Linked DNA regions of Notamacropus eugenii. The protein of the gene in region 1 purifies or fractionates together with the protein of each later gene. This does not show direct contact. Links are inferred from orthologs where the notes say so. Each region holds a gene or a part of one and is shown in the gene's direction. Other genes may lie near its edges.

The links. The genes of interacting proteins can lie anywhere in the genome.
Region 2: the proteins of FIBP (region 1) and C2CD5 purify together in Homo sapiens (affinity purification with mass spectrometry; 3 studies listed by BioGRID and IntAct, counting the BioPlex papers as one, with this or other methods). This does not show direct contact. The link is inferred for Notamacropus eugenii from reciprocal best matches to the Homo sapiens genes FIBP and C2CD5.

What each region holds. Positions count from the first base shown.
Region 1 is NC_092873.1:18,603,758-18,610,875, reverse strand, and holds the start of FIBP (acidic fibroblast growth factor intracellular-binding protein), read left to right. Parts: upstream 1-4,061; 5' UTR 4,062-4,225; coding exon 4,226-4,310; intron 4,311-4,422; coding exon 4,423-4,621; intron 4,622-4,941; coding exon 4,942-5,068; intron 5,069-5,623; coding exon 5,624-5,724; intron 5,725-5,799; coding exon 5,800-5,933; intron 5,934-6,449; coding exon 6,450-6,558; intron 6,559-6,643; coding exon 6,644-6,707; intron 6,708-7,045; coding exon 7,046-7,118. Other genes in the region: CCDC85B (coiled-coil domain-containing protein 85B), read right to left, coding at 1-712. UniProt on the Homo sapiens protein: May be involved in mitogenic function of FGF1. May mediate with IER2 FGF-signaling in the establishment of laterality in the embryo.
Region 2 is NC_092874.1:183,519,847-183,527,016, forward strand, and holds the start of C2CD5 (C2 domain-containing protein 5), read left to right. Parts: upstream 1-4,101; 5' UTR 4,102-6,469; coding exon 6,470-6,559; intron 6,560-7,170. UniProt on the Homo sapiens protein: Required for insulin-stimulated glucose transport and glucose transporter SLC2A4/GLUT4 translocation from intracellular glucose storage vesicle (GSV) to the plasma membrane (PM) in adipocytes.

The sequences.
Region 1 (7,118 bases):
CGTCCGGAGAGCAGGTCAGGTGCAGCTGGTCCGGGCTGCCCACGCTGCCCGTGCTCGAGCTGCCGTCTCCCACGTCCCGGGCCCCGCACGGGGGCAGCCCCAGCTCCGGCCCCGGGCCGCCCGGCCCGTCGGGGCCGGGGCCTCCTGCGCCTCCCGCGGGCTCGGCCCCGGCCTCAGCTGCTGCTGCTGCTCCCGCTGCTGCCGCGGCCGCTGCGGCAGAGGCGGCCCCGGGCCCGGGCCCAGCGCCCGGCCGCGGGCCCCACTCCTCCTCGAGCGCCAGGCAGAGCTCCTTGAGCGCCAGGTTCTCGCGCAGCAGCTCGTCCTGGCGGCCCTCGAGCTGCGCCAGCTTCTGCCAGCAGCCGGCCAGCTCGTCGCGCACGGCCCGGGACGCGTGCGCCCCGAAAAGCTGCCACTCGCGGGCCACGCGGCGGCCCTTCTGGCGCTCGTGGTCTAGGAAGCAGCAGAGGTCGCGCAGCTCGCGGTTCTCGTCCTGCAGCCGCCGGTTGACCTGCTTGAGCTCGCGGATCTCGCCCAGGTGGCCCTGCAGCTGCCGGTTGACCTCCTGCATGAGGCGGCCGCGCTGCACCAGCGCCGCCAGCTTCTCCGCCTCCTCCTGCCGCAGCCGCCGCACCAGCTCCTCCTTGGGCAGCGCCGCCAGCTCCGCGTCGCTCAGCGGCCGCCCCGGGCCGCCCGCCGCCTCGCCGCCCTCCATGGCCCCCGGCCGGGCGCCCGCTGGCGCATCCCCCCCGGCCCGCTGCCCCCCGGGCCGGCCGAGCGGGGCAGGGGCGCGGAGGCGGCCCGGGCCCAGGCCGAGGCAGAAGCGGCCCCGAGGCCGAGGGAGCGGCGGCGGCGGCGGCAGCAGCGGCGAGAATGGGGGCCCGGGGGCGAGCGGGCGGCCCGGGGCGGGGCCCCCCGACGTCACGGGGACGCGGCCAATGGGGCCGGACCGCGGTGCAGCCCGGGGAGGGGGGCCCCGCCCAGGGATGCTCAGGCCTGGCGCCGGCCCCGGAGGGGAAGGGAGGGGGACCCCGGCTGGGAGAAGGGTCCTTTCTGCTCCGCTTCACAACCTTGGACCCGGACGACTGACTTCCCAGTCCTCACAGGGTCCCCACCTGAGTTTCTACAGAACCGTGGCATTCCCATGGCTGCGGCGGTAGGGAAGGAACTCTCCTCCCATCTCTGATAGAATCCGGGACTCAGGTGTCCCAGCTCCCGGTCCTCCAAGGACTCCCATCTCCTCTTCCCCAGAACCCAGGGGTCCTGGTGTTAGCCTTGGGGGGCTAGCCTCCTATCTCGGCCTGAATCCTGGACCCAGAGGTCTGAACTCCCGTCCTCAAGTCCTCAAAGGGCTCCCATCTGATCTTCCCCTGAACCCAGGCGTCCCGGTGCCTGCCCTGAGGGACAAGCCTTCTATCTCTGTCTGAATCTGGGATCAAGTAGTTTCAAGGTCTTATCCTCAAAGGACTCCCGTCCGAGCTTCCCCAGAACCCTGGCGTCCCAGTGCCTGGGGGGATGGGGAGAGGATCATCTTCCCATCTCTGACAGAATCCAGAACTCAGGTGTCCTGGCTCCCTGTCCTCAAAAGGACTCTCAGAGCCTGCCCTAGAGTACTGTCCTAACCTCCACCTGAACCCTGGACTTGGAAGCCTGAGCTCGTGTCATCAAAGGGCTCCCATCTGATCTTCTCCAGAACCCAAGAGTCCTGGTACCTGCCCTGGGGGGCTAACTTCATCTCCTCCTGAACCCTGAACCCAGAGGTCTGAACTCCTGTCCTGAAAGGGCTCCCATCTGATCTTCCCCTGAACCCAGGCGTCCCGGTGCCTGCCCTGAGGGGCTAGCCTCTTATCTCTGCCTGAACCTGGGATCAAGTAGTCTCAGGGTCTTATCCTCAAAGGACTCCTGTCTGAGCTTCCCCAGAACCCTGGCTGTCCCGTGTGCCTGCGGGGATGAGGAGAGGATTATCTTCTCTTCTCTGACAGAATCCAGGACTTAGGTGTCCCAGCTCACTGCCCTCAAAGGACTCCCAGAGGCTGCCCCAGGTTACTGTCTTAACCTTTACCTGAACCCTGGACCCAGAAGTCTGAGCTCGTGTCCTCAAAGGGCTCCCATCTTCTCTTCCCTAGAACCCAGACGTCCCAGTACCTATCCCTGGGCATTGTTATCCCACCTCTGCCTGAGCCAATTCTCCTGGGGCTTCTAATCTAGCTTTCTTTCTCTAGAGTTCTGAGCACTCGGAGCCTGCCCTCCAGGTCCTCAGTGGTCTGCCTTGGCATCCAGGTGTTCCTGTGCTCTCAAAGCCTGGGGTGCTGTCCTCATCTCCCCTGACCTTGGACCTTCTCTAAAACACAGTCCTATATCTTCCTGACCTCTAGACCTAGGAGTCCCTGGGCCTTCCCCCAAGCGCTGTCCTTACAGGGTCTGCCTGCCCCATGGCTTGTCTGAACCCTGAACCCACCTGTTTAGAGTCCCACCCTATCATCACTTTCACCCTGCGGGGACCCTCCAGTAGAACACAAGCATCCCAGGCCCCTACATCTCCCTTTCTTCTTCAGGTCTCACTTTTCCTCTCTTAGTGGCTGGTCCTTTCGCTCTAGCCACTGGCCCTGAATGGGCAACCTAGTCCCGAAGCTCCAAGCTAGGAACTGTTAAGCCTGGAGTGGACTGGAGAGACTGAGGTGCCCAGGATTGCTGTAAGATTCCTCACCAGACTGGAGCAGAGAGAGGAAGGAGGATTGAGAAGTGGGGAGAGTGATGAGGCCAACTGGAGGGAGGGGGAAAGGAGGGATGAAGATGGGCAGAGGGACAGATGGAAGACGGTAGGGCTTAGGGATAAATGCTATGGCCAGGGGAGAGGGGACCCCAATGGAGGATAGTGAGAAGAAAAGGGATGAAGAAGAGATTAGGGTGGGGGGCTGAAGACTGATGAAGAGGAGGTAGAGAGAGGAAAGAAAGGTGGGGAGAGAAGAGGAGGATGGGGGAGGTGGAGCTGGGAGAGGAGTGAGGAGAAACTGTGCCTTTCCAGAGGCCCTGAGTCTGGAATGCCCTTCCTCCTCACCTCCATCCCTTTCAATCGCCACAGGCCCATCACCTCTCACCTAGGCTCTTCTCCCTGGCTGGTCCTCCTTCCTTCCCCCATTCTCTAGCAATAACAAGGGCTAGATTGTTATCTACTTTTCCCAGGAAAAGAAACTCTCCTAGGGTAAGAGCTGTTTCCACTGTTTGTCTTTGTATCTGAAATGCCCGACGGGCAGTAGGTGCTTGATGCATTTTTCTTAATAAATTTTTTTTAATTGACTTACTGATTTAATAAAGGTGATGTTGTGGGAAGGCGAAGGGATGGGGAGATAGGGAAAGGGGCGGGATGGGGGAGACTGATAAAGGGGAAGGAATATGGAATGAGAACTGGCGGTGGGGGATGGGGAAGGAGGATGAGCTTTGGAAAGGGGGAGGAGGGATTGGTAAAGGGAGAAGGATATGGCATGAGGAGCTGGAGGATGGGGGATGAGAAAGTCGTGGAAGAGGAAAGGGGAGATTGACAAAGGGGATGGAGAAATGGAAGGAAGAGCTATGGGATGTAGGGATGAGGAGCTGTGGAAGGAGGAAGGGGAGATTGGTAAAGAGAAGAGGTATACAGAATAGGGGATCTGTGGGATGGCAGGTGGGAAAGGAGAAGGAGCTAGAGGAGGGGAAGTTGGGAAAGAGCATGGAGACAAGGAATGGGGAGCTGTGAGATGGGAGATCGGAAAGCTGTGAAGGGAAAAAGGGAGAGGGGGATGGAATTAGGAGCTGTGGATGGGGGGGACAGGAAAGGAGGAGGAGGTGGGGGAGCTGAGGGAGGGGAAATTAGTAAAGGGGAGGAGGAGAGGAGTATGAAATATGGAGCTGTGGGTCGGAGGTGGGGAAGGAATAGCTGCGGAGAGGGCGGGGAAGTCTCCAGCGCCGGGATTTCCCCTTGCTTCTGAGCCGCAGGGCTGCGGGTGGCTCTGAGGATTGGGCGGGGCCGAAGAGGAAATAGGGAGGGGCCACCGCCCAGCTAGGGGCGTGGCCTGGCCCCGGCCCCTCCCCAGGACCCGCAGCCACCGCCCCTCCGCACCGGAAGTGGTCCGTGGTTCGCTGCGAGTGCGGGAGCCGAGGCCTGGCTGCACCCGGAAGCGGTGGCTGCTCCGGGGTCGGGCCGGATTGAGTTCAGTGTGGTCCGGTGGGTGTCCGGGCGCCCGGCTCCGCCATGACCAACGAGCTGGACATCTTCGTGGGGAACACGACCCTCATCGACGAGGACGTGTATCGACTCTGGCTGGACGGATACTCGGGTGCGGGCGGGGGCGCGAGCGGGGACGCGAGGCTGGGCGGGGGCGGGAGTGGGGGCGGGGCGCGCCCCTCCCCCTCCCCCTGCCTGCCTCCATGGCCGCCTCTCGTCCCCAGTGAGCGATGCCGTGGGGCTGCGGGTGCGTTCGGGCATCTTGGAGCAGACGGGGGCCACGGCGGGCGTGCTACAGAGCGACACCATGGACCACTACCGCACGTTCCACATGCTCGAGCGCCTCCTGCACACGCCGCCCAAGCTGCTGCACCAGCTTGTCTTCCAGATCCCGCCGTCCAGGCAGGCCCTGCTCATCGAGAGGTGGGGGCCCCGAGGCCCCGCCCCCGGCTGCGGGGCTCCGCCCCCTGCTGCCCCTGGGTCCCGCCCTCCCCTGGCTCGAGGCCCCGCCCCCTGCTGCCCCTGGGTCCCGCCCTCCCCTGCCCCAGGCCCCTCCCCCTGCTGCCCCGCAGCAGCCAAGGCTCTGCCCCCTGCCAGACCCGGTCTCCCCATAAAGTCACGGCCTACCCCCCTACAATTAGCTTTGCCCATGGTCAGCTTCTTGGTCCTGTGGTCAGAAGCCCCTTCCTCTTCCCCTTTGGTTTCTCCCCTTCTCCATCCTGTGCCCCCCTTCCCTCCCCCAGGTACTACACCTTTGATGAGGCCTTTGTCCGGGAGGTGCTGGGAAAGAAGCTGTCCAAGGGCACCAAGAAGGACTTGGATGACATCAGTGCCAAGACAGGGGTGACCCTGAAGAGCTGCCGGAGACAGGTCAGGGCCCACCCCCTCTCAGGCCCGGTGTCTGGGTGGCCATTGGGCATGGATTTCCCTTTTCTCTCCTGTGCATCCCTCCCATCCTTGAAGACAGCCCTGTGACCCCCTCTCTCCTCAAAGCTATCCCAAAACAGTGCACTTAGGGAGTCGAGCAGATCACCAAGTTGGGTAAAGAAAAAACTAGGAAAAGACAAAGAAAATTCCCAATTAAACACCAGACTGGATGTCCTGAAAACCGAAGGAGAGATGAATAAAATTCAAAAGAAGAAAACCATTGAATTGATTTTTAAAAACCTAGTAGATGGTTTTATGAAAAAGTCAGTAAAACAGATAAACCATTGGTTAATTTGATTTAAAAAAAAAAAGACAGAAGAAAACTGACTGATCATTGTGAACTTGGCACCAGAAGATGAAACTTGAAGTGGGTTATGAAGCTGAGCTTCCAGGTTCCATGGGCTGGCCTGCCTTAGGCGCTGCTGATAATGTATTTTCTCTTGGGACAGTGACCCTAGTCCTCCTACCTCAGCCTCCCTGCCACTTTCTACCCCACAGTTTGACAACTTCAAGCGAGTGTTCAAGGTGGTGGAGGAAATGCGGGGCTCCCTGGCTGGCAACATCCAGCAGCATTTCCTCCTCTCTGACCGGCTGGCCAGGTGAGGGGTGTGGGGGATTGAGAGGGCTTGGCCCCAGGGGTCTGGAGATTGGCTAAGAGCCCGGGCTCCCTCTAGGGACTACGCTGCTGTGGTTTTCTTCGCTAACAACCGCTTTGAGACGGGCAAGAAAAAGCTTCAGTATTTGACTTTTGGGGACTTAGCCTTCTGTGCTGAACTGATGATTCAGAACTGGACACCCGGTGCTGTGGGTGAGCAGCTCCCCGCCCCCAACAATGGGTTCCTGGCTTTTAGTCCCACCTAATCTCCCAAGGCTCAAATGAGTGCTAACTTCTGTCTGGCAGATTAATGCAGAAAGTACTTACTGTAAGACTCAGAGCAGGTACAGCCAAGCATATCTATCCTTCCCTGGGGGAAAACTGAGTCACAGGATCATTGATTTAGTGCTGGGGCGGGGAGGGGGTCCCTGGGGACTTTCATATCTAACCTCTCATTTTCTGAGAGACTCAGTTAAGGGATAAATCCAAGGTCATGCTGTCAGTCATTGTCTGAGGCAGAGCCCAGGCCTTCCTGACTCCAGGTCTACTGTACTATGGTCCCCCAGCTTATAAATGACATCCTCCCTGGCAAGGGCTTCTCAGCCAGCCAGGCTGCTTTTCTCTGCTTGAGGCCCCTTCCTCTCCAGGCTCTGGCCAGATGTGGCAGTCTGTAGCCAGCGCCCAGGCCTCACTGGGGTCTCTCCCTCCTCCCTGGGGACCCCTCTGCAGACTCTCAGGTGGATGACATGGACGTAGACCTGGACAAGGAATTTCTCCAGGATCTGAAGGAGCTCAAGGTGCTGGTGGCTGACAAGGACCTTCTTGATCTCCATAAGAGGTGGCTGGGGCTGGAGACGAAAAGAGTCAGGGCCCAGGAGGAAGGACCCAGGGCCCAGGATTGACTACTTCTCTCTTCCTCACAGCTTGGTGTGCACTGCTCTCCGAGGGAAACTTAGCGTCTTTCCAGAAATGGAAGCCAGCTTCAAGGTCCGTCCCCAACCTGCAGACCGTAAGGGATCCTGAGTCCTCTGGAAGGGCCTGGCCCCCACCCTGCTGTCTCTTCAGAGGCCCAGAGAGGGGAGCAGCCTTCCTGAGTGTCAGGACCAGGGCCCAGGCTGGAGCTTTTGCCAAATCCTCCATCTGCCATCCTCAGCTCGGCCACCCGAACCCTGGTTTCTTGTAGTGACTCTGCAGCAGATGCTGCTGCTGATCCTGTCAGAGCCCAGGGTGGTGCCTGTAGAAGGGGGGTCCCCCTGCTCTGGGATTCTGGGGTCCCTGGGGTGAGAGGGACAGACTCCAGGACTCCTGGCTTCCTGGCCCCACAGAACCTGTCCCGAGGGCTGGTCAACATCGCCTCCAAGCTAACCCACACCAAGGATGTGCGGGACCTGTTTGTGG
Region 2 (7,170 bases), on another chromosome or scaffold:
AATAACACATGCTATTTCTGTCAAGTCTACATCATACCATAGTAGAGTAAAAGACATTTTAAAAAACTTTAAAAAATAAACACAAAATACAGTTTTGTTAAATAACATTTTTGTGTATGGGGTTTGTTTTGTGATTTAACGTTAAATAAGTTTAGTTAATTTTAATTAAATTGTGCTTTTAAAATATGAAATAGTTCTTGACAAAATCATGGTTTGGTATAATTTGTTGTTTTAAAATGTAATTTTAATTTCTTTTAATCAATTAACCAAGAAATATTTATTAAGCATCAGGCAAGGTGTCAGGATATACATTTAAAAGTAAAGATGAAATATATGTAAAATGTGAATGAAAAACCCCAAGAGGCAGAATTTCTGGATAATTAATAATCAATGTATTAATTAGACTAGCCAGCAATCAATAAATTGATGTTTTGTGGTTTCTCTCTGTAACCAAAGACCCAGCCACCTCCAACAATCTAGACAGGGGAATCCATCTCCATCTAGACCACTGGATCACTCTAAACCAGGGATGGGGAACCTGTGGCCTTGAGTTCACATGTGACCCTTTGACAGAATCCAAACTTCACAGGACAAATCCCCCTTAATAAAAGAATTTGTTTTGTAAAGCTTGGACCCAGTCAAAAGATTGCACCTAAGGTTTAGAAAAATGTATGTTTGATTTCCCAGTTGATAAATGGTCAAAGGATATAAACAGGTAATTTGTGGAAAAAGAAATCAAAGATATATATGGTCACATGAAAAATGCTCTAAATCATTATTGATTAGAGAACTGCAAATTAAAACAACTGGAGGTACTATCTCACACCTATCAGACTGGTTAAAATGATAGAAGGGGAAAATAACAAATGTTGGAGAGCATATGGAAAAATTGGGACACTAATACCCTGTTGGTGGAGTTGTAAACTGATCTAATTATTTTAGAGAGCAATTTAGAATTATGTACAAAGTTGTAAAATTGTGTATACCCTTTAACATAGCAACACAACTATTAGGCTTGTTTCCCAAGGTGATCAGGGAAAAAGGAAAAGAACCTATGTGTTCCAAAATATTTACAGCAGTTCTCTTTGTGGTGGCAAAGAACTGGAAAGTGAGGGGTTGACCATCAATTGGGGAATAACTGAATAAGTTATGGTATATGATTGTGATAAAATACTACTATGCTATAAAAAATGATGAGCTGGTTGGTTTTAGAAAAATATAGAAAGACTTGGATGAAATAATGCAGTTAAATGAGCAGAACTGAGAGAACACTATCAGTAACAACAATAATGTTCAAAGAGTTAATAACTAAGCTGTTTTGAATAATATAATCATTTAAATCAATGACTTAAAATGCTCCAGAGAAAGAACTAATATATGGAAATATGTACAGACATACAGTGGAGATACTGTGGGTTTGGTTTCAAGAAATACTGACCATTCCCCTGAAGGCTTGGGTTTTATATTTAATTTTTGTGTAATATTTAATAACATGCTATTTCTGTCAAGTCTATATCATATCATAGTAGAATAAAAGATATATCATAATAAAATGATTATCACAATAGTGAGTCACGAATTTTTTGTTTCCCAGTGCATGTAAAAGTTATGTTTACAGTATACTGTAGACTATTAAGTGTTCAATAATGTCTAAAAATGTACATACTTTAAAAATACTTTATTGCTAAAGAATGCTAACCATCACCTGAGCCTTAGCAAATCCCAGTCTTTTTGGTGGTGGAGGATGTGTGTCCAGATGTCTATGGCTGCTAACTGATCAAGGTGGTAATTGCTGAGGGTTGGGGTGGCTGTGGCAATTTCTTAATTTCTTAAAAGACAACAATGAAGTTTGTCTCAACTGACTCTTTTTTTTGGAAATGGTATTTCATTTTTTCCAATTCCATGTAAAGATAGTTTTCAACATTCATTTTTAAAATAAAATTCTGAGTTCCAAATTTTTTTCTCCCTCCCTTTCTTCCATCCTCCCTCTCCAAGATAACAACAATCTGATATAGGTTATACCTGTGCAATCGTAACCACATTTGTACATTTTGATTCTTCCTTTCATGAAAGATTTCTCCATAGCATACAATGCTACTTAATAGCATTTTACCCACAGAACTTTTTTCAAAATTGGAGTCAGTCCTCTCAAACCCTCTTGCTGCTTTATCAACTAAGTTTATGTAATATTCTTCAATATTGTTGTGTCTCAGGGATTAGGCTTGAGGAGAAGGAGAGATGGAGTAGTCAGAACACAACATTTATTGATTTAAGTTTTCTGTCTTGTATGGCCATGGCTTGTGGCACCCCAAAGCAGTTAAAATAGTAACATAAAAGATCACTGATCAAAGATCATAGCAGATAGAATAATAATAAAAAAATTTTAAATATTGTAGCAATCATCAAAGTGTAACAGATATGATGTCAGCACATGCTATTAGAAAAATGGTGCTGATACATTTGCTTGTGGCAGATTTGCCACAAATCTTCAATTTGGGGGAAAAAAATTGCAGTGTCTGTGAAGCACAATAAAACAAAGTATGCTTGTACTGTATGATTTCACATATATCTATATCAAATGTTGGTCTTCTCTAATGCAAATTTGAGAGGCAGACAATTTGAAACTCAAGATGTGACAAAAAAATCCACATACACACATAACTAAAAAGAAAAATATGTTTGAACATAACAAAGAGAATAGAACCAGAAAGAAGCAAAGAACAGTGGTAAGCATAGGGTGCAGAACTTGATTTCACAAATGAACCAGTTAGGTACAGTGTTAAAGTACATACCAATTTGAATTGAAGTCTGGATTAACTTAATAAAAATTATCTTAAGGAACTTTCTTCCTATATTACAATCAGTTAATGAGACTCAAGGTAATAAGCATGTATACAAATACCAGACTTTATTATGGCACTCTATTTGGGTTGACACTGTTAATCTTTTGTTTGTACAATTTGCAAATATTTTTCTATTACACCAATATTTTTGAATGTTTTATATCAATATGATTAATAATTCTAGTTCCTATTGTTTATAATTGACAAGGTGGCATTTGATGTTAACTTTGTGCCACATTCCTTGGAATGTGATAAGCTCTCTTCTCAAGGGGATAGATGATCATTGTATGTAAGGTGGATTTTTATTAATCTTTCTTAGAGTTTAGTTCCAGGATCCATGCCTAAAAACCTCTAGTTCCTAGGTGTTAGATTTTCCCCAGACTCATGACTTGTAAACATCTCCACCATGCTTCTGTAGTGAGATATGGGGATGTTATAATGTGATATTTACTATGCTTGTGCTGAATGACAATATTGCTGAAGTTAACCTGTGAGCTTAATGTTGGCAAGATGCCTTCTTTGTCTGTTGCCCTATAAATCAAGCGGGCACCAGTCAGTAAGTGTGGATTTGGGGATTTGGGTAATGGCATAGAGGAATGCATATACCTGCCTTGAATGGCCCTCAACGCTTGGGAGGAATCTGTGTTTGCCTCAACCGGCCTTCATTGAGGCTTAGGGGACCTGGAGGAGTTGTGGTTTCTACTATATTCTCACCTGCCCCTGCTAGAAGAGTTGTAGGGAAGCTGAGTTGGTGCTCCCATTATCAGCAACTCCTTTGTGAGAAGACTAAAGTAAACTTATCTACTCCTTTTCTATGACTCCACTCCTATTTTCCTGTCTGCCCAGATCAAGAGTGAACCTGTGCTACAATTGGTATAGTTGGTGTTACCTGTATGTCTACCTGTGAAACAACCATTTAAGAGATTGAACAATTCTTATGTGAAAAATCAAACAGAGGAAAACGTCCATATTATGCTGAACAGGCATTCTTACATACAATTTACCTGTAGAACTGAATATAAGGAAGAAGGCAAACTGGATTGCTTTTGGCAAAGCACCCAGAGTCTTTCATTTTTATCTCAAGCTGTCTTCCTAAAGTCCCATCTTTATATGGTTTTCCTCCAATGATTTGTTGGGAGAATTCTCTAGACATAAAAAATAAGACATCTTTGGAAAGGTGTACCTATCACGGGGATTCCAGTGATAAGCAGACTAAGGAAATTGTTGATAGCAGCAGATCTGGGAGACTTAGTTTTTTTTTTTTTTTTTTATAACTGGTTCATTTAGAGTACACAGACAATTGGCAATATTTTTCGGAAACTTAGGATAGATAAGTAATACCTTTCATAGGAGAGGAAAGTTAAGAAAGGAAGAATCATTCAAGGCAGAAAAGGGAAACTTTTACCATGTAGTTGGCAGGGTTTATTACTGGAATGAGAAGATATTCTCTGTGCAAGGGGAAAAGAAAAGACTCTTACAATTGTGAAAGATGTTCTTTTAGACAACTGCGGGGTTGGAATGACTATTTAGACAAGACTGTGGGTGTCTTTTATCCAAGGATAACAAATAGTTATTACAACAGTAGCAGAGACTATCTACATAGTTTGTTATATTTCTGGTTTACTTTCCACCTTTAGACCACTAGGTATTTGGAGGTGTTTCTACATTATTATTAGTCCATCAAGATGTGAAACAGCTGTGGTTCCACATTTCCCCCACAGAGGGAATCGCCAAATGCCACAATTTTTTGAAACCTGATAATTGCAGGTGACCAGAAGGATAATGGAGAAGGGTATGATGAGTCTAAGGTGCAGTGTTATCACCGTGGATGCCTTAGGTACAACAAAGTTTCACGAACAATATGTGATTACTGAAAGGTACGATCTAACTGGTGGAACAAGGGAAAAGGGAGGGACAGTCACAGTACTGAACAAGGACGCACAGATACATTAGATATGCTAAATTTGGTAGACCTTTGAGGGAGGAGTTATGGGAAAGCATGGAACAGAATCATCCAGATGGTGAGCTGTGGAGGGTTTGGGATCTGCATAGATGTAAGGATTGACCAACCATTGGGACCACAAATCCATTGAAATGCTTCAGGTGGCCAAGCCTGTGAATTCTACCTTCCTAACATTTCTTACCTGCGCTCCTTTCTCTCCGACACTGCCCCCACCACTCTCACCATCTCACACCTAGATTATGCAGTAGCTTGCTGGTGGATCTCCCTGCCACCGAATCCTTCCCTGCCCTACTCCTGTTCTCCACTCAGCTTACTTCTGAAGTGTAAGTCTGACTGTCCTGTCACCTCCAGGAAGAAACCTGACCCACCTCAGAGCCAAAGGCACTGGCTTGTTACCTGTCCCTCCAAGAAGACATCCTCTCTCCGTTTCTGGCTGGGATTGGAATCAGGAAAGCCCGAGTCCAAGTTTAACCACAGATACTTACTGTGTTACTTTGGGCAAGTCCCTTAATTGTTGTCAGCCTCAGTTTCCTTAATTGTAAAATAGGAGTTTCATAAGAATTAAAGAAGTCATTTGTAGCAGTGCTTGGCACAGCCGACAGTACAGTCTGGCTTATACTAGGATCATATATACATATATACATACATATAGAAGGGTTTTATACATATGTATGTATAGATACACGCATACACACAGCAGGGTTACCGAAGGCAGGTTCCGGCTGCGCCTTCTGCCTTCCTCCAAGTCCCCGCCAGCCTCCCCTTCCCCAAGCTTGCCCTCCGCTGCTGTGTCTCTTTACACACTATGGTTCGCAGGTCGTCCCCCCATCAGACCACTTCAGAGAACGGGCTGTTTCTGGCCTCTCCAGAGCCCGGCACACAGCAGGCGCCTACAAGCGGACGATGGCGGACGGGCGGAGACCTGGATTAACATGACTGCCACAGTAGCCAATGGGGGTTAGCGGCTTCGGGTGGCACCACAAATTGTTTACTTTGACCCAGTTCGGTCTAATCTGGAAAATGTCTTCACAAGAACTCTTCACAACTTCTCTCGGAAACAGTGACGAGGTGTGCAGCCTTTCGGCCGCTCCTCCACCCGCAGCTCGATGATTCGGCACTCGTCCGAGTCCCCTGCCAATCTACCTCTCCTAGGTCCCGCCCTTCCCTCTTCCCTGGGGTGGATTCTCTTCAAGGCTTGGGAGGATAACCGACTTATCGATCCCCTCATCTTTTAATTGCCCCACCTGGCGCGAGGCGCTGCCATTCGCCGGGGCGGGAAGGCACGAATGTAGGGACCGGGAAAGGTTCGCTTCAAGGGCTAGATTCTGGTTTCCTTTACAAACGGGTTCGATACACTGGCGGAAGAACCAGTTTGAGCCTGCCTTACGGCCCCTCCGGGAGGAGGACGAGGGAGCCGCGCCCTCCTGCCCGCCTAGGAACGGGACTTGAAAAAAGCGACCCGCATTGGCACGGAGCGAGGAGGGCGGCGGGCGGAGAACGCGCGCGCACCCTTCCTCCTCGGTCAGTTACGGGCGCGCGCACGCACGCGAGCCCCTCGTGGCTCCGCCCCCGCACGCTCCCCCGCCCGCTGGCTTGGGCTCGGCGCACAGGCGCTTGTTTGTCTCTGCGGGGTCCCTAACGGAGAGCTGCGGAGCCGGCGGCGATGCCCGGAAAGCTGAAGGTGAAGATCGTGGCCGGGCGCCATTTGCCCGTAATGGACCGAGCGAGCGATCTGACTGATGCCTTCGTTGAGGTGGGTGCCCTGTCCTGCCACCTGTGCCCCGGCTCCCACCCTCCTTCGCCCCCCTTCGGGGATGCCTGCCTGCGGCGGCCCACGCCCGTGGGATCGCCCACGGATTGCAGCGGCCCCCCGCGCGCGCCGTGTGCGTGACCCTGGCACAAGGGCACTGCACGGGTCCACCTGGCCGCTCCGCAGGCTGAGGCCGGGCTGGGCACCCGCTGGGAAGGGGCACGTCAAGGTTGTAGCCCCTCGTGGTCACTGCTGCTGTTCGCAGTGAGAAGCTGGGCTGAATCGAGAGAACCAGAAGGGTTGAAATGGATTATTTTCTTTGTGGTGACAGTTCTCCGGAATGCAGATGCATGGGCATTTCCAGCGTAGCTAATGCTTTCTGCTCTTGTTTATGACGGTAGATCTTTTGAGCAGATCTCTAGGGGGCGAATTTATTCCCTTAAGGTAGGAAACCAATTAAATGCTACCATCCATTTAAAATTGCACAATTTCCCCCCCAAACTACTAATTACTGTAAAAGTTACGCAAATTAATGTAGGCCTAGGGTCCTGAAGGAATTAATTCTGAGTGTGATAAAAACCAAGTAAAAATGGAAAATAACATCCACAAGTTCG